Alligator mississippiensis: one gene and its partners. The protein of the gene in region 2 interacts with the protein of the main gene of each other region in a pairwise test. Links are inferred from orthologs where the notes say so. Each region holds a gene or a part of one and is shown on either strand. Other genes may lie near its edges. The genes, in order: RHOBTB3, UBXN11, EIF4E and EIF4E2.

Region 1 (6,893 bases), on a different chromosome or scaffold from region 2:
TTTAGGCGATGATCTAGATTTAGGTTCAGATCAACCCCATTCTACTGTCTACAATTCAATCAACTGCCTAGAGATTCAATCTGCATCTTCATTCTGGTCTGAAAAGATACCTCTACACCTAGACAGAAGTATCCATGCACTTTCAGAAAAAATTCACATCAGCAATCCTGCCCAAAGAGACAGCTTCAACAGGAAGAGCACTCACTCTGATTAGAGAATTGTATTGCGGCTTGCCTAGTGGTTACAGCACTCTCCTGGGAAGTGGAAACTGTGGGTTCCAGCCCCCTCAAAATGAGGAAGCTCTGCACCCTCCCATTTCCAACTAACAATCTATTATGCAGAAAGCAGCCACCAGCACTACCACTGACACTGGCTGTGTTTGAGAGCAACCCTAATGTCCTGCATCTTGTACTGAACAGTCAGTATGCATTAGGTGTTTGTTCAGGAAGGCACCTTACTTCTGGACCCTGAGTTTATGGAAGTGCCTAAGACTTTTTGTGCAGCCCTGAGTCATGCATCTGAGCCCGAGACAAGCAGGAGTTTTCACATTCCTATTTCCAGCATTTCCTATTAACTAATTCTTGATATCTCCCTGCTTAGCATACTGGCTACCTGGTTTAACTCCTGCATCTAATTTCCTAGGGGGTATCTAGATGCCTAAGCCTGTTAGTTTGGCTCACCTTACTGGGGCAAGGTATGTAATTCTCAGGTGTTGCAGTACCTAAATTGAGGTGCTTATAAGAACAATTTGGATCTGTCCCAAATCACCTGTGACAAGCAGGAGCACCTCTATAATTTCCATAGGCCTATTCCCACAGAAGAGGCATAGTCATCAAATATAAGTCTAAGTAACAGTCCAAAGAGCAAGCTAAAGAAGCCAAAACAGTCTCTTCCACAGCAAGCACCAGCCTTTTGTAGAGAGAACCCAATTATACAACTACCCACTCCAAGTAAGCAAAAAAATACCCACTATATTAAAAACTCTTTATCTGCTCCAGCTGGGAAAGCTTGGAGATAGAAGAGTATAGCACTTCAGGAAACATGGAGGAGGTGTCAAAACAATATAAGCTGCTGCTACTGATATTTAGTTTCTGCAAACCTACAGCCTCCAGAATTGAAAATTTTGCTCTCTCTTCAGCAGCTCAGAAGTTCAAATACTGATAAAGGTCAATCAAACATTTGAAATTTGTGAACACTCTCCAGGACCACACAACCTTGCCCTACCTTTACCAATCCTCCTTCCAGTTTCTTCTATTGATATCCTCCAGTCTCATTATACATCCATTCTCCAACCTTTATTCATATTGAATGGCATTTACGGTGAGGTGTGGTTCCACAGACCAACACATGCAAATACTATGCAAGGTGAAACTTTCAAAACTGGGCCCTCAATTCTAGTTGACCGGGTCATCACACACACAGAGCACAATGGCTACCACTGGAGAACAAGGCATCTGATCGCTGAGTTCTTCCACTCAGAATTTCTACAGAGAAATTTTGTGTGTGCAAGGATTTCAAGACGAGGCTCTAAGTAATATTATGAAACTGAATTTAAGTATATCTGACTAAACAACAATCCTAAAGAACAGTGCTCTGAAATAATCACAAACATTAAATCTGGTGAGAACCCATCAGTTCTCCATTAAACTCACAAGGTCAGTAACAAGTCAATTTTTGCTCAGGATTCAATAAATTTACTTCCAAACAGAAGTGCTGAATTAATGGAACAGTATCAAAAACTGTTTCTCTCTCTTTTTCTGGCTCAGGAATTGCTTTTCAGCATTTGATAATTCAACACATTTAAACAGGAACCAACAAAAAAAAAAAAAAAAAGAATTCATACACCATAACTCCAAATTGCCCCATTACAAAATGTCTCAGTAATTTTCAAAGCTGGACTATTTCTGGGAAACAGATTCCCTCTCCAAGTGTTTCCCTACAGCAGTAAAGCAAAGCATATATGAAAACATTTTGATAACTCAGAGAGAGAGTTTGGTTTTCAAGCCACACAAAAGGTTTCTTGTTTTCTTTTGGATTCTTTTCAATGCAGTTTTTACCAAACAAGCGAGTTGAAAATATTGCCTCCTCATATAGGTCAGTAGGCAGTGGCTTTGCTAAGGGGCTTTTCATCTTGTTGGTTATGGGAGAATATCCTTGGGTGATTATGTGTTTAAAATTGTAAATCCACTTCTAATGGTTTATTGTTTCCAATTGTGAAATTGGCAGACTCAATAAAAACCGCATTGAATTAGGAGCAGCTCCATTTTTTTTTAAATTAAGCTTATAAGTTTCACCCTAGATTCTTACCCAAAGGGGACAGTCATGTACCACCAGCCTGACATTTCCAAACACGCGGGCTTGATACTCAGTGAAAACAGGATTTCCAACGTGACTGGCAGAGTTCAGCAACAAACTGCTTTCAGTCTCTGAAATGAGAGCGCTTCTCCCCAGATAGGTCCAAATCAGACTGGGCTGCTGATTTTCCTCTGAAAAGGCCTCCCTTTCATTGCCAAAGGCTACAATGTGAACGGACCTAAAACAATAAGGAGAAAGTGAGAAACATCTACTGTTAGCAAAGGAGGGAAGAAAAAAAAAGATCCTTTCAAATCAGAACAAGGCTACTAAACGCTTCTCCAGCCTCTTCTTTCAGCCGTTCCTAAAAACCCAGCCATCAACCACATACATGATGTCAAATCCGAGAGCAAGAGGAGAGGAAGGGGGGAAAGAGTCCTGCCGGCATCATAGAGCCCCAACTCCTCTGGCTTTTTATTCCTCCATTTCCACAGGCAGCTTCACGGATGTCACCTCAAGCAGTCGTGCCGCGGGGTGCAGTGCCTCCCGGGGGCCTTCAGTGCTCCGGCCCCTGCAAGTCAGTGTGTGTAACCGCACGTGACAGCGACAGCAGCAGCGCGAGCCCCTGCTCCCGGATCATCTGCTACTGCTGGAGGGGACTGCAGCACCAAGCGCGGCAGCCGCGGGCTCAGCCATTGCCTCCTCCTGACGTCAATAAACCCTACCTAAGAGCGTAATACACGCAATGAGGAGCCTGCACATTTCTGCAGCGCCGACACCGCGCAGCCGGGGCAGCAGAAAGACAAAGGCGCTCCGGCCAAGGCAGCAGCTGACTGCGCTGAGGGAGGCTGCCCAGTGCACTGCTGCTGCTGTGCAGAACGGGGAAAAAAAGCTACATAAATACATGAGCTCACTGCCAGCCAATCTGCGGCCAGGCAGCCCTGCTGAACTGGCTAGAGAGGACCTCAGCAACGGAGGGGGCACAAAGGCGGCGTTGCCGGGTGGGCGGTAATTATCCCCTCTGAATGGTTGTTCCAGCCCTTGTACAATGCACGATCAGTAATAGTATACATGCTCCAAGTGGACGATCGGGGTTTTTTTGAGGCAGGACTCGTGGTAGAGGTGATAATCTTCTATTAGACCAGCTAGATTTTTGGGGGGAAAAAAAACTGCAAAAAACATTTGCAAAAATCTAGTTGGTCTAATAAAACATACCACCTCTACTATGAGGCCGGGTTCCTTGTTGCCTCTAGACCAATACAGCTACAACCTGGCTACCCAATAATTTTCGGAGCAGGTAACTGATATGGCCTATGTACAACACAAGGCACTCTGGGAGTCTTTCAGGTTTGCTGGGGTTTTTCATTATTTATTTAAATTTTCCATATTCCAAGCCAAATTAGCCAAAACAAATTCCAAATCTGAGGGCCAGTCCAGAACCGTAAGTGGCCCTACTACTGGCAAACATCCTCCACCCCCATCTGGGGCTTCTGATGTTCCCAAAACCTTAGGCGGGCATCCTATGTGCAGGCCCAAGCCCAGCAGCTTGGGGTTCGGATGCCCCCAAGTTCTGCTTCCCCCAGCCATTCGGCCCCAAGGAGCAAGCTAGGGAGGGTTTGCTGTCTGTACTTTTTATGACTGCTTCCCTTGAAATACAGAAATGCTTCAACTTGGATGACCCAGTTCTCACTCACTCACTGGAGATACAGTGAGCAATAGAAAGTAAATAAGACTTATTTGCAGACTTGTTTCCTTTTTTTTCAGTGTACAACAGTTTTTCAGCAAAGATAGTAATTTAGAGTTTCCAATATGATAATTTCATATTTAAGACCTGGCACTGCTGGAGAAAGGCAGTCCAGATGAGAAGAGCCTTCACAGGAGACCAGTTGCAGCCTTTTGCTTGTGTAACAGCTTGTTTTTCGACTCCAGGCTGATTGCACTTAGATATCCTCTAGAGCAGTGTTTCTCAACCTTTTTGTACCAGGACCCATTTGTAATCATCCTGACCCAGTGCCCCTCACTCCTGACACGCTGCACCCAGGCCCCCAGTGTGTGGGACAGGGGGGGCCCCCATGTAGCCTGGAACTCAGCCAGCCTGCAGGGGAAAAGCCAGTTTCCCAAGTTTTTCTCCTTTTTAAAGGAGAATCCATTTTTTAAAGTTTGTTGATCCATTTTTTAGGTTTGTTTGTGACCCCTCCGTGTATTCTTGCGACCCACGGTTTGAGAAATGGTACTCTAAAGCAGAGTATTTTTTCTGTAATCTGAAATCAAGTAAAAGAAAAGAGATGACTTTTTCTGAGAAGTACCTTAAATCTGTCACAACCCAAGGGTGTGATTTTGTGTGCATGCGCTTCGGCACTGCTAAATTATTTCCCGCCACAAGGAGCTTTTTTTGCAGGGTGCATTTCTCAGTTGCAAAGAGAAATGCACGGTGCAAAGGAGTTCCCGCCACCCGCATGCAAATTTGTGTCCCACTATTGGCCAGTTCTAAATTATTCCCACGTGGCGGCTAGCAATTGGCTTGCTAGCTGTATAAGAGGCTTGAGCGGTTTCCGCCCAAGTTGGAGGACTCCACAACTATCAGGAGGAGAACTTCACATCTAGTGAAGATCTCTAAGCACTGCGGAGCCTATCGGACCCAGCACGTACCTTGAGAAGGCTATAGGGGTCTGATCAACCTCTGGCCTCTCCCTGTCGCCGAACGATCCCTTGACGAACCCCTTCCCTGCGCGCAAGTTCCACGGAGCCTAGCAAACTTCGTGTGAGTGTATCCAGAGCTCTTTCTCCGAGTTGTTTTCTTCGGTTGACACTGATGGGCTCGCGTGTTTAGAGCCTTCAACCGGATTGGGCTAGAGGTTCGCGTGGAAGGAACTCTTGTCCTCTTCTCTTCTTTTCTGTCTGTAACTGCAACTCAAGCAAGTTTTCCTGCCTGCACCGCGACCATCTACGGTGTAAGTAAAATAATCTTTAATCAACCGCTACATGTCCGTGCCTAATTCTAGCCCGCCGGCCTGCATTCCCCGACCCGCGTGCCAGGGCTGCTGGCCACAGCCCGCTGCGCGCCCCCGAGAGCCTCGGACTGCTCCTGGCCTGCACAGAATCTAAAAAGGTTGAGACCCACTGGTATGAATTAATTAACAAGGAACTCTAGGGATGAGTAACTCTGAAACTACCTCAGTTGTATGAAAAGACCAGAACACAGAAGGGTTACTGGGCCTGAGACTGATATATCTTGTAAATTAAACAGACCCCCAAGACGGGTGTGTAGTGACAGAAGTTATAATTTAGACAGGCTCCAAAACAGGAGACTGAGGGAGTTGGAAAATGGGAGATGGTCTCTCAGGGTGCAGACAGACATTAAACAGGCCCCAATCTATCTCATGGCACTTTATATAAAGCACCATGAGTCAGAGCACCCCCCAGCCCAACGACGTTTGCCTGTTGGATCAGGAGAGGGGTGCTGGAGCCAGCCTGGCACTGGCCCAGGCTCAAGCAGCCTTCCAGGAGGCTGCCAAACCACCCTTCTCCCCAGCCTTGGCCCCTCCCCCAGGGCTGTCAACAAGAGAGCTTCCAGCTGCTGAATGGCAGGGAACTGGTCCCCCTTGCTTCTGCTTCTTGGCCCCCACAGCTATCCTAACTGGGGTACTGGGGGGAGCCGGGTCAGGCCCACAAAGCAAGGGGGCCCTATTGCTCCACACTCCTCCCGTGGCTCTGGCCATTTGGCAGCTGGTTGCTCTGTGCTGGCTGCTGGATGGCTAGAGCTGAGGGAGGAGATGGAGCCCCCTTCCCTGGAGGGCCTGGCCCCAGCCATGAGGCAGGGTTGCCCTGTTCCCCATTCCCTCCCCCCAGCTCTGGCCATTCAACAGCCAGCAGCTCCCTCTTCTCCCCCCTGATAGCCCAGGTGAGGGACTGAGCACCAGCCCAGCTCTGCCCCCCACATGAAAAATTAACCCTGGAGGGAACACAAATTCCCTCAGGCACTCTGTTTTTGAGCTCCTTAATGTAATACATGATTTAACCAGGGTTAATTTTTTGTGCAATCGACCATTTAAAAAGTGCTCTGCAGCCATGCATGTGTGTTAGTCACGGCTGTGGAGCACTTTCAAGGACCAGATCTTGAAATGACTTGAAAAATGTCATTTCTGTCTGCACTTTTCAGGTAGCAGCTAGTGAGCCAGTTGTTAGAGCCAGACAGGGGATCTGTAGAACTTGCTTAATAAAACTTGCTTTTTAGCTTTTCTCATTCATGTATGTCTGCATTTATTGAAGCTGGTGGTCACTACAAGGTAACAGAAGTGGCAAATGAGAAAGAACTTTAAAGAGTTGAGATTCAAACTGAAAAAAAGTTGAATACTGAAAATAAGTGAAGCAACGGAGCCACGTGAAAGGACAAGGGCCACCATAAGTGATCTACCCACAGGTTAAGTAAAAGGACAGCTAGTTATGGAAGTTTTGCAACATCCACCTGCTCTTCTGATATTGGGCAATATTAGCAGAGAACTAACTGGAGGACGTTCAGTACTACCTAGCAGCCACAGGGCCTGAAGAGAAAAGACACAGTGAATTCATCTATCTTGCATACTGTGGAGAAGGAAGACCTG
Region 2 (7,090 bases):
AAGCCTTGTCTACAGATTATACTGCCTTAGTCCAAACTAGACCCAAACGTGGTCCTGCCTATTGTGGCTTACACCGTGAACAACCGGGCTGGCAATTTTACCTTCAGCTGGAGTTCTTGGGCTTGGCTCCTAACTTTTTGTTCCAACTTAATAATTTTCTGCATCATGGTGGACATGAGTTCCATGTCAGTAGGAGCTTCCCCTGAAAGCAGAAGTCTAACATAGCATCCAAAAAATCTTAATTCTGAATAATTCAACCAAAAAGTGCCCTTATGATCACCCAGTGCCCATTACATGAGTTGAAGGTTCAGTAAAAGAACCGATTTGCCATTCAGGCTGCATGAATGGATTCCCTGTAAGTGCTGTGCGTGAATCCTTCTGTGGCCATGATTGGTGCATATATGGCCTTTGGAGCAGGCACTGTGTGTGTGTGTGTGTGTTCCTGGGACATCTGTTACGTCATATGCCCAGACTGTCACATCTGGGCATATGAATCGAGGACTAATCACTCTGGGCATGAGTGTTGAGTCCAAGGACTGTCACTGGGTGAGCCACATGCAAGCACTACCTTATGGCTCAGTGACTCTTGTCCCGTGAGGTGCATCATTACCACTTTTGCTCGCTTTTGCTCTTCCCTTTGAACAGGAAGGGGATTCACTTGGCAAGGCATCATTTGTCCTAGGAGGCAGGATGTCATTCAGCAATGCGGCTTCATCCTCTGAGAAGAAAAAAGGCAAAGGAAGAAAGCAAGAAAAAGTTAGGTCAGATCTTTAAATGCACCTTCTCTAAACTCCTCGGATGCCAGGAAATAGGGGATAGATCATTCTATAGGTACCCGGTACAATTCTTTTCCTCTAAAGCATTCACCCCTGCCACCGTTGGTGCTGGGATACTGGGTTCAATGGACCATAGGTCTGACCCAGCATGTACTGGCAAGCATGCCTTGTCATTAGGGAAAGAGAAGCTTAGGGAAAGTGGTGTGACCCCCAACTCACCCCAGGCAAATGCTCTCAAAGGTGCGAGCATCAGGATTTAACCAGGCATCCTGTACCGTACTGCTCACTACAGTCCAAGAGCCAAAGGAAAATATGGTTCTGTTGGAAGAGCAGGATGCGGGTGGACAGGGCTTCACCCAGAAGGTCATAACCCAGGGCATCAGAAGCAGACAAGGTCAGGAAGGAAGCTATGAATCAGACGATGAGAAACAGGGACTGAAATACAGGTGGTCATCGCAACAGAGCCACAAGAAAAGTGGGTCCAGGACAGGTGGTCTGGAGCAGTCAGCTGTAGCTGTAAGGGACCAGGAAGTGGGCGATCACCAAACTAAAGCCACAAGCCAGGAGCTGGCTGTCAGAAGACAGGGATCTAGATTACAGTCTGAAGCAAAGGGGTCAGAATCCAGCTGGGAGCAATTTAGCCTGCCTGCTGCCTTGGCCCCAAGAAGCCTTTAGTCTAAATGAAGATCAAACACCAAACTGTACTGGGGTAGAGACTGTGATGCCAAGGCAAAGCATCTTTTTGTTGGGTGGAGGGGAGGTGCAGATAGACTGAAGGAGGTAAATGGCGGGGCCCAGTTTTAGTAACAAACTGCCAATAGCATTACATGGACAAGGATCATCACTTAGGAGCTGCACAGAAGTGAGTTTCAAGGAGGGACATGAAGAAAAGTATTAGCACTGGGAAAGGGCAATATGATGACACAGCCTAATTAAGAGCTAGTAATCACTGGAGAGATCTAAATTGTTCTAAAGCTTGCAAGGACATGGAAACCACACATCGCTCTGAGCAGCAGCACGTGGGAAGGGGAGAGAAAAAAGGGGGTGGCAACTAGAAAAAATAGAGATTAGTGCACAGGATCTTGGGGCTGGTCCTGCTTTGAGCAAGGGTTGGACTAGGTGTGATCTCCTGAGGTCCCTTCCCACCCTCATTTTCTAGGATTCAAAGATAATAAGATCTTAACTCACCACTGCAGGCACTCTGTTTAGCTGGCTCAGGTTTTTTCCTGCAAGAATAAAGAGGGGATCTCGTACAAACAGAGCAGGCAGCTGAATGATCTGTTGTGTGATCTGGCTTAGAGGTAACAGCCCTGGAAATTACAATGAAATGTGTTGGTACAATACAACTGCCTACGCGCGCTTATCCTTTTGTGGCACTGATCCAAACCCAAGCAGCCCACTTCGCTTTTTTTCCCCTCTGCTATGAGTGTGTTCACACAGCCAGCAAAGGCAGGGCAGCTTAGGAGTTGAAACTGCTGCTTGCCACCAGGGTTAGCTGCTTCAGGCTACAGAAAGGGGAAGGTAAGAGGCGCAATGCACCAGGCTGCGTGTCACATACCTCCTGTAGCAGCATGAAGGATCCCAGGATTTTCCCTGCCGTTAACTAGCTAAGATACTATTCTTATCAGCCCTGGGTTGTAGGGCCTTCTTCTGTAAAATGCTGACTAGGCTGGAGAATCCTTAACTGCTCCTGATTCCAGCAGGCACTGATTCAGCACCCTGAAGGTCAAGGGCAGAGGAAGGCCTCAAAAATGTTTATACCATGCAGCCCGCGACTGTGAAGTGTATTACGAGAGAATCTGTTGGCCGGGAGGCACTCATCCCTCATGCCCCGATTATCACGTTTAAGAGAAGCGCTCAGGATGGAAACTGCAAAAGAAACAATAGCCCCCACGCTGCGTACAGCAAAGGTAACGCCTCATTTACCCCGGACTCTGGAGCTGCAGCGGGACTCTGCGATGCTTTCCCAGGGAGGAGAGAGGGGACGTCATGGCTTACAACTCGGTCCGCCCTAGATCCCGGGGAACGAAGGCGAGGCGACGCCTCCGGGCTGCGGGATGGGATGGAGAGCAGCAGAGTGCCTGGACGCGAGAGAGAGAAACCATGAGGCAGCCGGCGGACCTAGGAAGCGATCTGTCATCCCGCGCGGGGACGGGGAGAGGGGTCGTGCCGGGCGGGCGGGCGCGGGGGGAGTCTCGAGCGTGACCCGGCGTCGTTCAGACAAAGCAGGAGCCTGGCGGAGGCTGCAGGTCCCAGCCAGGCCATTCCTGCTGTGATCTCTGGGTCCGGTGGGACGGTGCGAATGGAGGCCGGGCACGTGGATGCAGCCGTCCTGGACAGTGGGCGCAGGCTGCCCCGGGGGGCGAGCTCCGGCACGACGGCTGCCCGTTGTCGGTCGGCACAAAGCAAAGCGCCGCGGGGACTTTGCCTCCAGAAGCCAGCGCGCTCCACCCAGCCCTCGGCATGTCATCGCAGACCGTGACATCGCCAGGTATCGCCGCGCTGCGCCGTGCCGCGCTGACCTCACGGGACCCTCCCGGGCAGCGCGAGCTCCACGCGCTCGCCCTGCGCGGCTGCAGTTGCATCAGGCGGCATCACCGCGCAACGCGGTGACCTCGCGAGGCGTCACTCTGCCAGCGGTGACATCGGGAAGCGTCGCCAGGACAGGCGGCGACATCGCGAGGCACCACCGTGCCACAGCAGTGACGTCAGAAGCATCGCCATCAAAGCAGTGACCTCATGAGGCATCACCGTGCCACAGCAGTGATGTCAGAAGCATCACCATCAAAGCAGTGACCTCACGAGGCACCACGGTGCCACAGTAGTGACATCAGAAAGCATCACCCTGCGCGGCTGTGGGGTCACGAGGCATCCCCCTACCGCTGCAGTGCTGGCAGGGAGCGTCGCCGCGCGCGGCAGTGACGTCAGCGGCCGCAGCCCCAGGCCTGCGGCGGCGCTTGGGACCGACCCCCGCGGCCCGGCGCCGCCATGTTGTTGACAGGCGGTTGCCCGGGTGACCGCCCGGGCGCGGGGATTGGCTGAGAGGCGCTCACATGGCTGGGAGGCTCCCGTCATGCAGCGCGGCCAGGCCCGGCCTCGTGCCCTGCGGCCCCTGGCTGGGCCGTGCGGCCCGGGGGGAGCGGGGCCGGGGCCGGGCCGGGCCGTGTGTGTCCCCAGGGGCGAGCGTGGGGTCCCGAAACCTGTAGCGGGGCCCGGCCTGTGGGCTGCGCCTGGCCCCGGGTTTCGTCGCCTCCGGAGTTTCGTTTCTGTGAGGAGCCCGCCTCTTTTTCTCGCCCTCCTCCGCTGAAAAAGCAGAAGAAGGAGCGCTGCTGTGGTCGGCCCGGCCCGGCCCAGCCCTGTGCGCTTTGGCTTTTGCCTTCGCCCGCGAGAGGCCCGGTCTCCTGTTTTCTCATTGTTTCTCTCTCTCTCCTTTCCGTCCTTTGGTTTCTTCCTCTCGTCTCGCTCCGGTCTGGGGCGACGGCGTTTCCTTTTGTGTGGGGAAAGCTAAAAAAAACCCCCAACCCAACGACCGTTGACCCCGTTTGGGGGGTGAAGGGCTCCGAGCTTCGCTCCTTTTATGGCCTGCAGCTTTCCACCCAGAAGACTTTCACTTTGATGCTTCCCTTGCAGAAATCATCCGAAAGTACCATGTAAATGAGGCGGTGCAGCAATCTTGGCGCCGGCTGCTGCTTTCTGGCCCAGCGAGCGCGGCTCGGCACGGAAGCGAGCGCAAAACGAAGCCCCCTTAGCTGGGGAGAGGAGGCTGAGGGGACGGGACGGGACGGGACGCTCCAGCTGGTCGGGTCCGACCCCTCTTGTGGCGATGCCTGTGCTCAGATAAGCTTAGCGAGGCCCTAAATCCTCCTTTCTGCTGAAAGCACACCTCGATTTTCATGGGCTCGGAGCTGAAATCTGAGCGTTGCAGCTCGAGTTCGCCTCTCGCTCTCGAGTGGAAACTAAGGAGCTTTGTTATGAGCCGGAAATTCAGTCCAAAGTTTGGCGGATGTTCACGTGCTTCCCAGTGAACCTGGGCCAGCTTTCCAGGGAGCTTGGCCTCGTTCATGGCTTTAGCTGGAACCTGTGAGAAACTCAGTGACTTCATTACACTCGGAGCCAAGTGGGACGTGGCGAGCTGGGGTGTTTTTGCTTTGAGTTTCGACATCCTGAGGAGAAGGCGTGGGCGAGGGCAGAGAAACCGCTGGTAATGTTCACCCGCTCCTTTTCACACCAGACCAGAGGAGTGTCAGCCCCCCCGGCCCTGTGCTCTGGGGGGACCAGGGCTTCCTGGAAACTAGGGAGCTGAGAGGGCTGGTGGCATGGGACCACGGTGGAGAACCTGGAAGGCCCACCCTGGCTGCCATGTCCTCCTGCCTCTCTTCTCAGGAGTCAATCCAAGCCTCCAGATCCCAGGAGCCTCGTTACAAACCCCTCGGAGGATAAACACACCACTACACCCTTCAGCAACAAGCCTTCCCCCGATAACAAACCCTAGCCCAGAGCACTGCCAGCCCCTTCCCCAGCCCCGAATTGCAGTCTAGGGCTCTGCACATGAGCCTCCTTCATGCCCACCCTGGTCACCACCAAGGGCTGGAGGTGCACGGCTCACGCCGAGAAGCTGGGACATTAGCAGGGGCTTTCGAGCAAATGATTTTAGATACTCCAGGTCCCTTCAGCACTGGAGGTCCTGCCACATTTGAACACATGTCCCACCAACACCCCGGATGGGCAGGCGTGACCTAGATCAGCAAGCCCACACGTGATTGGTGAGCTCTTTCTTCCCTTCTCTAGCAGGCAACATAAGAGTTGCTGCCTCTGTTCTGAGAGGAGCAGAGGGGACAGCTTCCACGCACGAGTCAAGTCGCATCCGAGACCCAGAGAAGAATGAACAACGTAAAGGCTGTTCTGGTCGGCACCCTCCTCCTCATGAACCTCATGTCTCTCTGCATGGTAAGAGCAGCCCGCGTGGTGCTGGGGGAGCCCGCACCTCCCCTCCACCACATCTGCATTAGCAACACACGAGCCACCTCCATGAGCTCAGGTGCAGGGTGGGGTCCACAGCACCTTCCTTTCCTGCCTGCTTTGAAGTTATCCTGTAGCGTAGTCTAATTCAATCTATTTTATAGCTTCTTCTCACCCTGGTGTCGGACTGTCATTTTTGTCGCTTGTCTCGAGCCCCGCTCTGTCGCTGTGTCACAGGTGTCCCCTCAGCCCTGCCCTCTGGAAGCATTTTGCCAGCAAGAGCATCTCCCGCCTTGAGCAGTTTATTTGTGACCTGCTCTGGGGACTAATGCATCCGTCCTGTTCTCAGCCAAGCATTCGGGTTGGAATTGGGTTTTTTGGGTTTTTTCGCTTTTTTCCCACCACGCAGTGCAGAGCAACGGTTCTCACTAAGAAAAGTGCGCACGCTTTCCTGTGTGGTTACAGTTATTTGGAAGCCAGCAACAGGGCCAAGCAGCTCAGATGCGACGTTGCAGGCTTTGCAGGATTCGGTGCGTTGTACATATCAAAACAAGAGCTCTCACTCCTACGGCTCGGCAGGCTGAACAACCCGGTGTCACTCACCTGTGGTTTCATCTCTCTGCTCACTGCCTTCCCCGTTAGTGCCAGTAATTAGATTAAGTGTTGGCCTGCCAGAGACCAGACTTCTTACCTCTTCCGGCAGGATACAAGGCACGTTTTTCCACGCAGACTTTTAGGAGGGGAATGGGCGCAAGGGCTGGGCAGTGGAAGGTATTTAGGTGGTGGCTAATTGACTTTGATGGGGGACTCCCCCAATGGCCTTCGAGCCACTGGAAATTTGAAGGGACTCTTGTAGGTGCGCCTAGCGGGGGGCAGGTGAATGGAACAGACCCTCAGCTTGTCTTCACTTTCAAAGCCTCTCCCTGCCCCCTGAGCAGCTCTCATTCAGCAGCTGCCCCAATGCCAGCTCCATCACCCCCTCCTTAATTATTCATGCCTTTGAGTGCTTTCGTGGTCTTTCCTGTTATACCGGGGCGGAGCTGCTCATACCCATCTGTGAAGCCACTGCACTGCTCTCCTGCAGCTCCCTCGTGAAACTCTCCTTTCTCCATTGCCCACACCCTGGGTAGCAACCGTGCTGCTGGGGTGCTGAGACTCCATGCCCAGTCGGGGTGATGAGCTGCTTTATAATATCCCATCTGCCTGGTCTTAGGTTGGCAGGTCTTGGTGGCAGGACAACTGTCTTCTGTTGTGTGTCTGTACCTAATGCAAAGGAGTCTTTGTCCACGATTCATAGTTTCATAGTTCGTAGGGTCAGAAGGGACCTGAGCAGATCATCAAGTCCGACCCCCTGC
Region 3 (7,934 bases), on a different chromosome or scaffold from region 2:
CCCTGTTTTGTGGTTTGATTATCAACAGCCCTCCGAGTAGGTTTACTTACAGGTTTACTTGTGAAGAGGGGAATCTGGTGAGTGAAGAGGCTGAGAATTGACAGGATTAAACCCCATGGGGTTGGAGTCTCTTGTCTCTATGGGTTTAAGTGGGTGCATTAGATTGGGTGCAGTTTACTCTCAAGTAGTTTACTCTTGAGAGTAAACTACTTGAGAGTAAACGCTCCTGGGCAGGCATTTACACATGTAGAGAAGCAGGAGCAGATTTGCTGCTGCTAATGGCAGCAAAATGCTCTCACTTCCTGGGGCCCTGCAATGGGCCCCTGCCACCACTGGAGGAAGCTCTAGGCTTCCCCTGGGTGTTAGCCCAGGGACTGGCAGGGAATGCTGGGCTAAGAGATAGCTGTCTCCCAACCAGGGCAAGAACAATGTCCTCCTGCCCCAGCAGCAAGGAGTCCCCAGCCCCAGCTCCCTGATCAGGGCATTGGACTTGGAAAGAACTGCAGGGCAGGTCCCAGGTCCCAACCCCGACCTGCTGGTAAGGCAACTAGTAGCGAGCCGCCTAGCCAGGGGCTCACTATTAGGTGCCCCCACCAGTGGATTGGGGCAGGGAGCTGGGACCTGCCCCACCCCTGCAGCTCTTTCCAAGCCAGGTGGCTTGATCACCTGATCAGGGCAAGGGGCTGGGACCTGACCCTGACAGGGCGGAGTCCCAGCTCCACAATCACAAGGCAGGGGCTGGAGATCCTGTTCCCTGATCAGCTCTGTGATCATGGAGCTGGGTGGAGAACAAGCTAGAGAGCTTGTTCTCCACCCAGCTCTGCAAACCTGATATTCTTTCTGGAGAAGAGATGCTTAGAATTGTGTAAATATTCTGCATACAATCTAATCAGTGCTGTTGAAAAACTGACTGTAACATCCTTGCTGACAAGATACATTTGTATATTAAACCTAAACATGCATTGAATATTTTGGCTGCCATACTACATGTTGCCCCACTGTATTTCATAAGTAAATGAACAATACATGGAAATTTAACTTTTTCTAGGGAATAGTTTTGTGATAAATCTGGTTAAACTTTGTCAAAATTGGTGAATGTAGCAGCCACCCTTTATTTAGGTTAAGTGTAAGATCCCCTCAAATGGTTAATTGTGTAGTTTCCTGGAAACCAGCTACGCGTGCGAAGTAGCTATCACACAATAAAAAGCTCCAACCAGCAATCAAATTAGAACTCAAAAGTGTGTACTAACTTTATAGCTGGTTGCTATTGAGCTTTAATTTGCAGGTGCAGTAGGACCTCCCTGTAGCTGGGAGCCCCATCAGATGGTGGGGTTCCCAACTGCAGGGATACACCATGCCCAGTATAAAACCTCTGAGCCCTAGGAATCACAGCAGCCACAATCCCCAGGGTCTGGAGATTTCTGGGAATTTCCCACACCCTGGGCCCTAGGGTTTGGGGGTATGGGAAACCACCAGGGGCCAAAGGATCCTGGTGATCCTGGGGGTTACCTATACCCCCAGGCAGGGGGATTACCCTGCAGTGAACCTCTGACCTTGGAGGTTTCCTGCACCCCTGGAGTGGGGAGATCACCGCAGCAGCAATCCTCCAGCTCCAGGGGTGTGTGGGGTGCACCCGGAGCTGGGAGCCCCTAAACTGAGGTGCCTGGGGCTCCCAGCCATAGGAGCTTGCTTCTTGTCAGTACAGGGGGAACCCAGGATTGAGACTGCTTTCCACACTCCTTGTGGGCTTTTCCTGGCTTCATAGCAGTAGAACTCAGAAAAACGAAACTGCTGCCTGTTGCTGCTGTCCCAAATATGCCCCTTTGGGAGGAGTTCAGCTGCCAAGAAGCAATGCCAGAATCTCCATGGGGCTGCTTGAGGGATGGTCCACAAAATGCAGACATCTTTGAGATATGGAGGGAGGTGAATTTATCTCAACCACTTTTTACACAGACACTTGTAAGCCTTGAGTTTCAGAATGGGAGAGAGCAGCTGTGTCACAGGCCACAATGGCAGGAAGACTGTGAGATTTTTTAAATCAAATCTCTCTAAGGCACTGGCAGCCAAATCTTCCCTCATCCAGGAGAGGAGAGAAACTGTAAGGCAGCAAATGGAGATTTATCCCATTGCTTGGTGTTAAGATGCTATAGTGGTGAGCCGCTTAGAAATGCTGTAGACAAGGGGTGTCAAACATAACTGGCCATATGTTTCATGCAGTGCACTGTTAGTCCAATGGGCTCCTGGAAGCTGGGGGAGGGAATAGTGGTGCATAGCCTGCTGCAGAATTAGGAGTCACTGAGCACTATTGGCAATGCGTAGGGGGTGCACGCAGGTGCACATGCATCCCCTGAGATTGGCCATGCACCCCCTGGAAGCAGCAGCTGCAAAACTGGAAGTGCCGGTGGAAGCGTGCTTCCAGTTTCGCTGCTAGTGGTTCTGGGCTTGGCAAATGGCCACCCCCCCAGTCGGAGATCTGGTGCACCCCCAGACTCGGGAGGCACCAGTTGCCTATGCTGGGCACTAATGGACATGGCTGTCAATGATAAAGGAGGCAAGTCAGAGCTATGCAGATACAGCCCTCACTTGCTCCACCACTACCCAACCTGTATCACTGCCCTTGGACGTCTGCCGTCACCACTGGACCTACTGCAGCTACTGCTGGCCCTGCAGATCTGGCCTGGAAGGACCCCTCAGGGTCTGGATCTGACCTGAGGCTCAGGTTGAATTTTACACCCTGCTACAGACAGGCAGAGCAAGGGTTTTTTGGTGCCATCTTTCCTTAGATCAATTGCATAGTTGGGAGAGATGCTTGATGAGCTTCTGGATACCACATGCCCCTCTTCATTGCCCAGAAGCTTGCCTGATATCATCCCTCCCAACCATACAGTCGATCCAAGCAAAAATATCACCAAAAAATGCCTTGGCATCTCCTGGACCAGCTGCAGAGAGTAGGACATGGACTAACGGCTTGACGTCGCAGCAGAGTAGGTTTAAACTGGATATCAAGAAAAATGTCTTCACTGTTAGAACAGTGCGGCAGTGGAACAGACTGCCTAGGGAAGTCTGGACTTCTTATCACTGGAAGTGTTCAAGAGGTTGGACAGCCACTGGTCAGGGATGATCTAGGCGTAGCTATGCTTATGCTCTACTCTGGGTATTTCCCATGCTTCTGGACTTTGCTGGTTGCCCCAGCCCCTGTTTCTGCTACATGTATCAGGGTGTTTTTATGCTTCCGTTAGAGGCATTGGGTGTTGGCAACAGCCAAGGCTGGGGACTTTGGGGTGTGTCACTGCTTCTGTTGAGACCAAAGCTGGAGGTTCCTGTCTAGAGGCTCTTGCTCCGCTGCTCATACTCAGAGCAATCAGTGTATTTGGGGTCAGGAACAAATTTCACCCCCTGGCCAGATTGGTACCCACGGGGATCAGGGGGCAGGGTTTGCCTTCCTCTGTATGGGGCCATGCCCTGCTACCCAGGGTCCCATGAATGTGTATTAACCACCTGATATGGAGGCAGGACATTGGCTGTGCGGTTGCCCTGCTTTACCTGTGGTAGGTTCTGAGTGTTTTGTGCTGTGTCAGGGTCAACAGTGGTCAAGGCTGCAGCTTGTGTGGGGCAGTTCAGACTGGGACACTCCTGCTTCAGGTAGGGGGCTGGGCAGAGTGAGCTGAGGAGGCCCCTTCCAGCCCAGCTTCTGTGGGAGGTCTATGATCTCCCCAAGCAGCCAGGCTACCACAGCACCACATCTCACACGGGCAGCCCAGCCCAGCTGGCCGTACCAGCGTTGCCAGATCTTAACTATGAAATTATTATACTGGAAGCTCAAAATTAATGTATTTGCTGAAAAACTATCATACATGGAAAAAATATGCAAATACATATGCAAACAAGTTTTCTTCTTATTTACTTTATAATACTCACTTTGAGTTGCCAGTGAGTGAGAATTGGCTCATCCAAGTTAAAGCTTTTTTTTAATTTTCTGAGACAAGCAGTCATAAGAAAATGCTGGTATGTGGGCTAAGATCAGCTATAGTCACTGTGTTGGTGTGCTGCCCAACCCAAGGTGGAGTTAAGTGACATTTTGTAGTGGAGGCTGCACCCCTGTCCAATGCGCTGCGGACAGGACACCCTATAAGGGTCTTATAACTAGCTTCCCAGTGGCCAGCCTCCAGTGGGGCTGGGGCCTGCAGGCAGGATGCCCACCAGCAGATCTGGGAGTCTCTGAAGCCCCAGGCTGAAAAGTCTGGGGTGTGGACGATACTTGCTGGTTGTAACACCACATGCGATTGAGGTTTGCTCAATCAAGAGGATTCAGAACTATTTGGCTAATTTGACTGGAATACAAAATAAATAAATAAACAAACCAAAAAACCCCAAACCCAAAAGTCAGTTAAGACTCCCTGAGAATGACTTGGGTTTTGCAGATGCTGCATCGATTCGCTTCCTCAAAAAATATTGTAAATGTGCTAGAGTTCTGCATTTGTAAATTTTGAGCACTTTTACCATTATTGATCGCAAGGGTTGAAATTACCCTACAAACACGATGACTACGGTGCCCCTGGCAACCCGTGCCCGCGGGGCCAGTCCCGCATTGTGAGAGCAGGCGCGCACGGCCCCGCCCCCCGGGCAGTGGGCGCCGGGCAGCTGGGGGCGGCTCCGCCCGCGCCCCTGCAGCTCCCCGACCGGCCGCTAGGGGGCGCGTCCCCTCAGGCTCCGCCTGGAGCGCCGGGCCCATGTGACTGTCTCGGTCCCGCCAGCGCCAGGCAGGGGGAGTGGGTGAAGGGGCCACCCCTTCCCCGGCGGCGACTACACGTCCCAGAAGGCCCCGCGCGCCCCTTCCCCCTCCTCCGCGCGTAGGCGCCGCGGGCCCCCAAACGGCCGCGCGCTTCACGTGACCCCCCGCTTCGGCCAATTGCGTTTGAACCTGGTTTGCCATCCGCCCCCCCCCCCCCCCGGCCCCGCCCCGCGCCGCTGGTGCGAGCGCAGCGATCTAAGATGGCGACGGTGGAACCGGTGAGTGTTTCATTCCCTCCCGGCCGGGCCCGGTCCCTCGCTGCCGCGGGCCCGGCCACGCCGCGGGGAGGTCCCGGGGTCGGGCCGGGCCGGGCCGGGCGTGGGGGAGGGGAGCGGGACGGGAGGCGCCAGCGGGGGCGGCGGAGGGGGGGCGGGGGGATTCCGAGCGCGTGAGGTCGGCGCGGCGCGCGGGACTTGTGCCGTCACCGCTGGGCCGGCGGGAGGGGAGGGGAGGGGGGGGGGCGCGTGAGCCGGTGGGGAGGGGGGAGCGGAGGCCCCGGCGGTTCCTGCCGCCCCGCCCGGCCACGGGGAAGCCGGGGCGGCCCCACGCGGGCGCTTCCCCGGCCTGGCCGGCGCGGTGCTTCCGGCGCCTGGGGGGGTGGGGGTGGTCTCCGCCCACGGGGGGGCCGGAAGGGGCCGGGGGCGCCCGCCCCCTCCCCCCTCGTCTGCTCTAGTCTGCGCCGCATTGGCGCGCTGGGCCGGGGAGGCCGTGTGCGCTCCGTCTGCGCTGGCGCCGGGCCGCACGTGGCGGAGGTGCGGGCTGGAGAGCGCCAGGCAGGATCCCGCCTCTTAGCAGGAGCGCAGGGGCCGCGCTGACCTTGTCCTGCGGGAGCGAAGTCGGGCAGCGCTGCCCCGTGGTCTGGAAAGGTTTAACCCCCCATCCCCTTTTTTATCCTTTGAGCTCTTTTTTCTATCTCAAAATCCCAATTTAAATATTCTCTCAGCCCTCCCTGCCAGGAGCCGCTGCTGCTGTCTGTGCGCCATGCAGTGGAATCTTAGTTATACCATTGCTGCAGCTGGGGGATTGGGCCGAACAGGGCTGGGCAGGGGAGCCTGGGAGAGGTGCATGGAGTCACTGTTTTACTGGCTGGGTATGCACACTGGAGCCTGCCGTTAGGCATGGACTGCTTTTTACAAGTCAAATAAAATCAATCTTTTAAAAGGGTTGTCATCAGTTTGTTGTCTTATTTAACAAAAAGTAAAGGGCAGCGACTTTGCAGATGAAAAGCATTTTAAGACTTCACTGAAAAGATCTTGTGTTGTACTCCTGTGAAATAATTGGGGGGGGGTCCACCTGTGTGTATGCCTGTGTCCCTTTTTCCAGGCAACAGATTCCTCTAAGAACAAAAATATCGTTAAAATGGAAGATAAAAGATGACAGTTAAAATTTAGTGCATACAAACAGTGTTTGCCTACCAGCTCTCAAAAACAAGGTAATTCACTTACCGGGAAAACTGGAGCAACAGACAGTGCAGGTGGCTTTCTCCATGTAGCCTAGTCACTGTCTTCTGTGTTTAATTTGGGAGTCACCATCCCTCTAAGGTTATGTTCGTTCAGTTCTTTGCAGTGACTGTCAACATCACTGCTTGTAATGATGACTGGACAGCCACTGGAGACTGAACTGAGACCAAGCATATTTAATTTAAAGAACCAAATAACTATCCACCGCTCTCGGTTACCTTTTTCTATCTGAGTTAAAGGGTCTGCCTCTCTAATCTCCCTTCTTTCATTCCTGACGTGCTTTTTTCCCCAACTTCCTAGGCCCACCTGACATCTCAGCTGTGCGTGTGTTTATAAAGTGTCCAGACCAGACAGTGTTGCCATAATAGACATAATTGAAATGTATTTCGCTGTGGTTCAGATTAAAGTGGGAAGGGTCTTTTGAGCAGGTAGAGGGGGAATGTCTGCTATTGAAACTTTTAGAATTTGAATCTGGGTACATAGAATCCTTCCTTTTTCTGCAGTTCTGATGTTTTCTCCTCTGTTATAATGGAAGCATTTTATGAAGCTGCCATGTGTCACCACACTTCTCTGGAGTTGGAGAAAGAGAACTTCTGTAAGGAGGATATGGATGGTGGGTGGGACAAGAGTGCACTGCCCTGTAGGGGGATAAGGCCTCCAGAAGAGAGGTGAACTAGATGCTAAAGCAATGTTGGTTTCTTTTTCTTGAAAATACTTTTAAAGGCAGTTCTCCAGTCTTGAAAACCTATGAGGTACAATGTAAAATCATATTTCACAGAGTCTCAAATATTTTTAACATGGGTTTTTGTTGTCCATTAAGCCACCTAATCATGTATCTATAGAAAGATGGTTCAAAGGGCCTGGCTCCACACATGCACCGACTGAATTACACAGTATTTCCAAATATTGTTATCTTGCATTTTTCCAAATATTGTTATCTTGCATTTTTAAAATGTAGTAGTTTTGCAGCTTAGAATGAACTTTTGTCTGATAAGAAAAGGACTATTACATTCTATTAGAAAAGTTCACACGTTTTGGTTATTTTTTTAGAGTTCAACAATAGCTTCCAGAAAATAATTGTAAGGGCAAAAAAGGCTTTTGTCCTAATGCAATAAATATTTTAGGTGAATACCATGAACATTTTATATAAATCAGCTTGGACCTTCCATCTCCCAAATCGTAAATAGGTTTCATTCTGCTCATTATTCTTTAACTTTTTGTTTGATGTACATGCCAGTTGCTTTGGTATAGTGAACTAATTGCACTTTCTGAACTGAACTCTTGGCTGAAACTGCTGAGGTCTGTTTAGCTCTTTCTAGTTTTGAATAGGCATGTATAAAATTAGATACCAAGTATATATAGTATCAAGGCCCATGATACTTTCATGACTGAAATGACTCTTCTTGTAATAAGTTAATTCAAAAGGTCAGCAGTTAAGTTGAGGTATAACATTCAAGGTGCTAGGTATTTTGCCAAAATAGCTGCTAAAATTCCAGGTATATCTACAGCCTCTTTCTTTTTTGTTCATGGAAAAATATAGTGAAAAATTACATATAGATATAGACGTATATCTTAGCTGCCACTGCAAGGCTGGAATTTGCCTTCATCTCTTTTCATAGATTCATAGATGTTAGGGTCAGAAGGGACCTCAATAGATCATCAAGTCCGACCCCCTGCATAAG
Region 4 (7,865 bases), on a different chromosome or scaffold from region 2:
ATATGCATGGCATTAGAAAGGCACGTGGTCCTGCCACCACAGAGCATAAAAGGAACAGTTTAGCCTCATTTTCCTAGAAAAATCCCATCCTGGTTAATAGCTTGACACAGATCATTACTTCAGCAGTGATCGGCTGTATTTCAAAGAGGTTATTAGAAATCCAGAGTACTTTCGCTCTTCGAGCAGGAAGGGAAAGTGCTAAGGGGCAGCAGCCCCAGCCCCAGGAAGAATGTCACCCGATAGCAACCCCTCAGGCAAATTTAGGAAGGGCATTAATAAATTCTGGAGCGGCTCCCTTTAACCCTGGGCTGCCAGGACAGTTGCAGCGGTCAAGGCTGTCACAGGCCATGGAATGCAAAACAAAGAAGAGAACGGGAGCTTCTCACAGAGTAGTCTATTCTTCTCTTTTGGGAAAAGAAAAAGCATCTAAAGTGAACTAAACCCCAAATCAAGTGAAATACTCCACCACAATTCCAGTGGCAGGGTTCAGTCATTTAGCTTTCTCAGAGCACTGTCAGCACGCAGGCAGATAAAGACAGAGGGAGTGCCAGGAACAGCCACTGCCTATATAAAAGGCTTCCAGCGTACATTAATGCAGTCGCCAAGAAACAGATGTTACACTAGAATCACCAACCTGACAGAGGTTCCATCATGCAAGGGAGAAGGAAAAGGTCCAAGCTGATCATGCAAAGATGTTACACTAATTAGAGAGCAAGTTTTAATGAGCGCAAGATTAAAGGAGAGGAGGTGGTTTCCCAAACCTGACTGAACCATGCTGTATCTGCTTGTAATCACCCTTCAAGGACAGACTATTTAAACAACAGCACAAAACTTGATCTTCTAAACCAGCAGTTTTCAACCTCGATGCAGCCTTGTGTTAGACTCCAGGCCCCCTTTGAAAACACTGGTTCCTAAGCTCTCACTCATTTTTTTTACTACAAAAACATACCAGAGCAATTATTTTTTGTCAAAAAGCTCACAAAGACCACAACAGAGCAGAAAGATTATGAAACTCTGGGTTTCTGTTTGAAGTGTCTGGTTTTATCTTGCAAATAGCATCTAGGTGTTTGCACACTTAACAGTACTAGCATTGCACAGCACTTCAGGGCACCCTTAAAAGGGCTGCATGGCACCCAGCATGCTACAGTACCCTGCTTGAGAACCGCCATTCGAAACCAAGAGCAAGCTCCCATCTGCAAATACTTCTTGAGATTTGCCTGAAGCAAGTCAAGCTTTGCTTTTTGTTTCCACAAGTTCAACTCACTGGGTGAAGATTTCTAATTGCACCGGTGAACAGGGTACTCGAGCTCAGCTTATTATACTGTACGCTCATTAGCCCTAGTTTGTTAGTACCACACTGACAGAGCAGCAAGCAAAATAACAACATGCCGACATGCATCTTCCTTACAGCAGAGCTACTGGACTGATCAAGCCCCGTCAAGTCCAGCATCTCCAACCGTGCCTTGACGACAGCAGTGGAGCGCACAGCACTCACCTTCCTCTTGGTGCTGCCCTGGGGCTTGTCCCGGTCGTTCTTTTCCTTCTCACCGTCTTTCTGTGTGCTGTTCTCTTCGTTCTGGTCATGGTCCCCACTGTCGTCATCTTTCAAACTGATGAACGTGAGGTGGGAGGAGAGAGAGCCTTAAGTTGCGCAGGAGCAAAAATGTGGCCACCCAACGCGCACCCCATGACACAGAGAGAAGCTGGGAGCCCGACAGAGACTCGTGCAGGGAGGTGCGTTATGAGCCCCGCACCCGTCACAGGTCCCGTGGCCGATACAACGCCCAGGCATCATTTGTTATCCAATACTTAGCTGTACCAATAATGGGTACGTTACCCCGTAGATTCCTATTTAAGACGAGGTCTATTACTCTGTAATTACTATTTAAGACAAGGTATAGTACCCCATAGATTCCTATTAAAGACGAGGTCTACTACCCCATAGATTATTATTTAAGATGAGGTATATTACCCCATAATTACTATTTAAGACGAGGTATATCACCCCCTAGATTCCTATTTAAGACAAGGTATATTACCCCATAGATTATTATTTAAGACGAGGTATACTACACCACAGATTATTTATGACAAGGTATATTACCCCATAATTACTATTTAAGATGAGGTATATTACTCCGCAGATTCCTATTTAAGACACGGTATATTACCCCATAATTACTATTTAAGACGAGGTACATTACCCCATAGATTATTATTTAAAACGGAGTATATTACCCCATAGATTATTATTTAAGACAGGGTATATTACCCCATAATTCCTATTTAAGACGAGGTATATCACCCCGTCGATTCCTATTTAAGACGAGGTATATGACTCCACCGATAACTATTTAAGCCGAGGCACGTTACCCCGTCGATTCCCATTTAAGCCCAAAAATCAGACGCAGGTGAGAAGTGCCATGTGCCGGGTCAGACCGTACGTCCGTCCCGCCACGTCCCAAACCCCGGGACCCCTCGGCCGGCCTCCTGCAGGCTCCGAATCATCTCGCGAGGACGGGGCTCAGGCCCCGGGGCCGGCGGGGCTGCTTTCCTGCCCCTCCGCTGCGCACACCTGCAGGCAGGGTTGCACGGGGCGGCTCATTGGACTCGCTCGCCCACCACCCCTCCTCCCCCCTGGTCCATTAGGTGTTAATTTGTCCCAAGCAGTGAATGCAATCACCAAGGAGGGGGGTGGGGGGGGGCTCAGCCCCCGTTTCTAAAGGCCAATCAGGGGCTGGGTCTGAGCAGCCTCCACACTGAGGCCCAGGAAGGTCCCCCCAAGCCTCCCCCTCCCCCACGCGCGCGTCACACATCGCGCCCCGCCCCCTCCGGACCAACGGCCGCGGCTCCCCCCGGGGGGGCGGGGGACGAGGACGGAGCCGAGGCGGGGGGGCGCGACTCACGCGTCAAATTTGTTGTTCATCCTCGCTCGCCGCCTCCGCCTGCCTCGGCCTCAGGTCCTTCCGCTCCTGCGGGGCCGCCCCCGTCACCCGCCCGCGCGCCACTTCCGGAAGCGGAACCTTTCCGCCGGGGTGCAAGTTTCCGGGGGGGACGCAATAGTCGCCGAGCACATAGTGAGGGAATGTCAAAGCGGCTCGTCCGCCATCTTGAGTGTGGCACCTTCCCTCCCGGCAGCCATATTGAGTGTGGGAGAGCCCTGCCAGGCGCCATTTTGAGTGTGGCAGACCCACCGCGGGAGCCGCCATGTTGGGGGGGGCTGCGTGTGATGTCGCGAGCGGCCGTTGGAGGGCGCCGCTGCCTTCCCGCCAAAACGGGGTGGCCCCAACGGTCGTGTGGGTGCTCGTGGCTTCATGTTCGTGCTCTGAGGGAGCAGGTTCCTGCCTTAGTTGTGAGGCGCTGCGGCCTGGGAATGAAAACCAGCCACGGCTAACAACTGCTCGCCTGGGCGGACGGAAGATTTTGAAAAGGGGGTTGTGGGGAGCAGGGTGCCTCATCCCCTCTGAAAACAACACGCAGCCGGAAGCTTTGACTGATACGCCAGGCTGCACCACGCAGGCGACGATCGCAGCAAAAACCACGTACGGCTTCACTGGACCGAGTTAGAAGCGAGGTGTAGGGCCGTGAAAGAGGAGCTTGGCTACCAGGAGCGGCAAACAGGCCGTGGCATTGGGAGAAGGAAGGACCGTTTGATTGGTGGAACATCACGACCGTGAAGAAAGACGGGGTTATTATTGCCTCTGGAAGGCAGGGTTTAAAAGGGATCGTCTAGATTATAACGAGCCATAAATGATATGGACTCTGTCGCTGCTGGGTTAGAAATGCTGCAGGCACTACCAGGGGTGTATTTGGTAGCCATTGGCGATGTGTAGGGGTACACGTGCGTGCACATGCACCCTCTGGGATTGGCTGTGTGCTCCCTGGAAGCGCCAGCCGCAAATTGGAAGCACGCTTCCGGTTTCGCCGCTGGCTCGGCGATCGGCAACTGGAGGAACCCCCCCGGCTGGAGGTACCAGTCGCCTATGTTGATAGCCATATTGGTCTGCACCGATGCAAGCCATCCCCACCCCTCGGATTTGCCCCCGGTTGCTTGTATTCTTTTTCTCTCTACTAGGGAAATAGTAGTTCTGGACCAGCTCATGCCACCCTCCAGCCGAGCAGCTGTGCCGTGCACCACAAGGACGGGGTGGCTCTTTGGCTTGATGTTGAGATCCGTGTGACAAGCAGGCATGGTTTGTTAGCTCGCTGAAAGGAATTTTAGGGACTCAGCACAAGGATTGTTGGTCAGACAACAACTGTAATGTGTTAAGAGACAAAGGGTTTGCAAAGCAGTGGTTTCCAAATGCCAAGGATGCCATTCGAGAATCCGAAAACCACTTCCCAGCAGGTGTCTGGGAAGACAGAAACTTAACGAGGAACAGCACACATTTTATAGGGTTGGGGCTGCAGAATGAACCCTACGATAGGCTTCTTGTTGATTTCCTTCACTCCTTCCGGCAGCCGAAAGGTGAATGCTCTCAGCAGACTGGAGAACATGATAAAGAGACTTGTTTTTGCCAGCTGTTCCCCCAGACAGACACGGTGTCCTGCAGGGTGAAGAGGAGAATTTATCACACATATCTAATAACCCTTGCAAGTGGAATTATGCCTCTGCCCCCAAGTTGAGGAAGGATACAATTCATTGGAAATAAATGACAATGTTTAATGTCTCAGTATGGCTTGATACTGTATAGATGTAGGGAGCACCAGAGGCACTGATCACAGAAAGTTTAAAAAAACAAGAATACATTTCACCTGTTTGTCTTCTGTCATTGTTTTGTCTCCCATATTCATTCTTGCAACACCACTACAAGGCTGTGCTATTTTTCCATTTTACAGGAGGGAAACTGAGGCACAGAGAAGCTTAGTGACTTGCCCGCAATCACAGAGGAAGTCTATGGTAGACTGGGGAACCCTGGTGTCTTAGTTTAGCACTCTAACAACTGGACCGCCCATCTCCTCTGCCAAATGGGATCAAGTCAGTGTTCCCCGTCTTAGAAGTCATGCCTACGCTAGGAAAATAGGTTACGTTTAGAAGCTACTAATAATGTAACCTGAGTTTCTACACTTCTAAAAATACGTTGATTGGCTGTAGCTACCCCTAGATGGGACTATTATTCTCTGAAAAGTAAGTTTTTACATTCCTTCCAAAACCATTTTTCCTTAAATTACCATGGATATTTGTTGCTCTCGTGTTCAATATCCAGTCTGTTTTTAAATCCTGCTGATTACTTGCTTGCTCTCCATTTAAATGTGATTGATATGAATACACTCAGTATCTGTCAGAATTCAGTGCTGCCACAAGGAAACACATTTTGCTACCACAATTCCAGATAAATTTGCTAAGAAGCTTCAAAGAGCAGTTAGTCTTAGTTTCTTCAAGAAAGAAAGAAATTATCCGCCGTTGGAGATAATACGTTTGTTTTCTGAGCTCAAGACTTTACTGGGTTTTATAAAATAAGATCGGATGAAAGGCTAAATAGATATCAGTCTGTGGAGCAAGTACCCTGCTACACTGGGTGTAATGGGATTAATGTTACCTGCTGAAAATGGCAAAAAGGCTTCTTTGTTCAAAAAGTTTCCACCTTTGTCCAGGAAGTGACTTGGGTTGAACTCTTGAGGGGTCTCCCAATGGTCAGGATCATACAGAACAGAAAATAAGTTGGGATAAATTAAAGTGCCCTAGAAAGAAAGACAACTCCTTAAGAAAATAAAAAAAATATTCCCAGCAGAAACATCCTTGGACCTCCTATGGCTTCCCAATGCAGTCTGTCATATCCCTTTAAAAGTGCCTAATGCAAGAACAAGCTAATTCTTACATGTTCACCCTCTGACACATACTACAGAATAGTTCATTAAAACAATTACTTCAGCAGCAAGGTCTTAAGATTGATTCCAAACAGTCTGAGGACGATAATATACAGCCAAAAATTAGAATGTTTAATTCTGGAAAAATAAACACCCCAGACTGAGTGTGGAACCCAATTCTAAAGTTGCGATCAGTGGAGCATGACCTCAAAGACATCTTCCTCGCTGTCTCCCAAGGAGCTATCTGTAAAGTCTCATCTGCTTGGGAAGGTATAAGGTAAGGAATAAATTTAAGGAATATATTTCTATTGGTAAAATTCCTTTTATTCTAGAATATGTGCCTTTTTCCATTTAACTTATGTATTTTTGCCTTTGGTTTCAATAGTGCCCAACATTTTAGCTCCATGGGTGAGTTGAGTGGCACAGGGTTGGTCTGTGGCTTGGCTCCTGTGTGGGATTGATCTATATGTGCGATCTAAGCACGCTAGCCCAATACTGGGTGTCCCAATCTGGCCAGGTGCCAGCCTGACCTCATGTGCCCCAATCTGGCCAGATGCTGGCTCGCCCCCGCGTGCCCCAATCTGGCCGAGTGCTGGCCCGCCCCCGCGTGCCCCGATCTGGCCGAGTGCTGGCCCGCCCCCGCGTGGCCCGATCTGGCCGAGTGTCGGCCTGACCTCACGTGCCCTAACTTGTCTAAGTGCTGGCCCAACCCGACCCTGTGCACCTGGATCTTGCCATGTACCAGCCCAACCCTGTGTACCTTGATCTGACTGTGTACTGTAGTGATCTATCGCATGCAAGACCATGTTATCTGACCTACAGAATTTGAGGTGGGTCTGGAAATTTGGGAGAAGAGTGGCAATTAACTCTGCCACCATTCTTCTGCTGCCAAATTTTCAGACCTGTGGGGAGCCTTGTGAGCTGTATGACAGCTTTGTGGGCTGCCTGCGGGCTAGAGGTTGAAGGCAGAAGAAAGGTAAAGTTGTGCAGGAGTTAACCTTTACTTACTGAGGTCCACAACCTATCCTGCAACCTATCCAATACCTATTTTTAATAAAGAGTTTTTTTTACAAATTGTTCAACCTTACTTGTAAACCATTCCTGCACAAAACACAGAAAAAACATCTATTGTTTAAAAAGGTAAGTGGGAGTTATTACTGTTTCAAATTTTGCCCAGAGAACACCTCTGAAGTGTGGTAATATACTTAGCATACCTTACTAACTGGAAAGCCCTGCACAGTTGTATCCTTGGCACACTTTCGTATAACCCCTATTGCACTTATGCTGCTATACCGCAGAACTTCATGTAAAACTGCATTTGTGTAGGGTAGGATCATTCGGTCCTCATATCGAATTTCACGAGATGAGCTAATAGTAGTGTCCAGTTCTTTTTGGACTCGTTCTGCAGGGAGAAATTGTCAGAAACCAAAATTTAAGAAATTGGTCAAAGCATGGACTCTGGCTTCTCAAAATAAGTCACTGTAAATTGCAGGATTAAATCAGATTAATTCCTAGTTCATACATACAACTTTGTCCCTTATTATGCTCAGGAGGCTGGAGGCCAAGGCCCCTTCCCTGCATTCTCCCCAGTGGGGTGGATGAGATGGGCTGGTCATATTCCCTCTGTCAACTTGCCCTGGGTTCCCCTGTCAGGGATGGGGACCCTTTGTTGCTCTAAAGTTTCTGCTTTTTTATTTTTTTCCCTCCTGATGACTCTTCATCCGTGGCTATCACTGATTGGTCTCTGTGATCATCATACTGTCTACGTTCTGTCCTGTCAGGTTATTCCTTTGTTTCACAGGCCCATCACATGCACGCATCCTAATTTGGGCTTTTCCAATGTCCTCCTAATTTTGTCTGTTCCCCCAAAACCAGAACTCTCAGGGCCCCCACCCTCAGGCCTTGTGAGCTGGTGCCACCTTATCTCATGTTATGGAACAGTGTCATATATGCCCACAATTTCCCAGGCTATGTCTAGCCATTGACCTTGTTGTCTTGACACCCTGTCTGCCTTAAAGGCTGTGAGAACTGTGTTACTGTGTGATCGGGCCTTTAAA

The links.
Region 1: the proteins of UBXN11 (region 2) and RHOBTB3 interact in binary tests that used the Homo sapiens proteins (3 or more experiments, as listed by UniProt). The two-hybrid records come from large-scale screens. The link is inferred for Alligator mississippiensis from reciprocal best matches to the Homo sapiens genes UBXN11 and RHOBTB3.
Region 3: the proteins of UBXN11 (region 2) and EIF4E interact in binary tests that used the Homo sapiens proteins (3 or more experiments, as listed by UniProt). The link is inferred for Alligator mississippiensis from reciprocal best matches to the Homo sapiens genes UBXN11 and EIF4E.
Region 4: the proteins of UBXN11 (region 2) and EIF4E2 interact in binary tests that used the Homo sapiens proteins (3 or more experiments, as listed by UniProt). The two-hybrid records come from large-scale screens. The link is inferred for Alligator mississippiensis from reciprocal best matches to the Homo sapiens genes UBXN11 and EIF4E2.

Annotation. Positions count from the first base shown.
Region 1 is NC_081826.1:239,081,146-239,088,038, forward strand, and holds the start of RHOBTB3 (rho-related BTB domain-containing protein 3), read right to left. Parts: upstream 3,012-6,893; 5' UTR 2,686-3,011; coding exon 2,684-2,685; intron 2,534-2,683; coding exon 2,308-2,533; intron 1-2,307. UniProt on the Homo sapiens protein: Rab9-regulated ATPase required for endosome to Golgi transport. Involved in transport vesicle docking at the Golgi complex, possibly by participating in release M6PRBP1/TIP47 from vesicles to permit their efficient docking and fusion at the Golgi.
Region 2 is NC_081829.1:3,174,462-3,181,551, reverse strand, and holds the start of UBXN11 (UBX domain-containing protein 11), read right to left. Parts: upstream 3,020-7,090; 5' UTR 2,768-3,019; coding exon 2,703-2,767; intron 2,087-2,702; coding exon 1,965-2,086; intron 719-1,964; coding exon 611-718; intron 203-610; coding exon 102-202; intron 1-101. UniProt on the Homo sapiens protein: May be involved in the reorganization of actin cytoskeleton mediated by RND1, RND2 and RND3. Promotes RHOA activation mediated by GNA12 and GNA13.
Region 3 is NC_081825.1:160,612,201-160,620,134, reverse strand, and holds the start of EIF4E (eukaryotic translation initiation factor 4E), read left to right. Parts: upstream 1-4,916; 5' UTR 4,917-4,992; coding exon 4,993-5,010; intron 5,011-7,934. UniProt on the Homo sapiens protein: Acts in the cytoplasm to initiate and regulate protein synthesis and is required in the nucleus for export of a subset of mRNAs from the nucleus to the cytoplasm which promotes processes such as RNA capping, processing and splicing.
Region 4 is NC_081830.1:84,413,534-84,421,398, reverse strand, and holds the start of EIF4E2 (eukaryotic translation initiation factor 4E type 2), read right to left. Parts: upstream 3,016-7,865; 5' UTR 2,927-3,015; coding exon 2,907-2,926; intron 1,611-2,906; coding exon 1,496-1,610; intron 1-1,495. Other genes in the region: cytochrome P450 2J5, read right to left, coding at 4,369-4,547, 5,541-5,682, 7,023-7,210. UniProt on the Homo sapiens protein: Recognizes and binds the 7-methylguanosine-containing mRNA cap during an early step in the initiation. Acts as a repressor of translation initiation.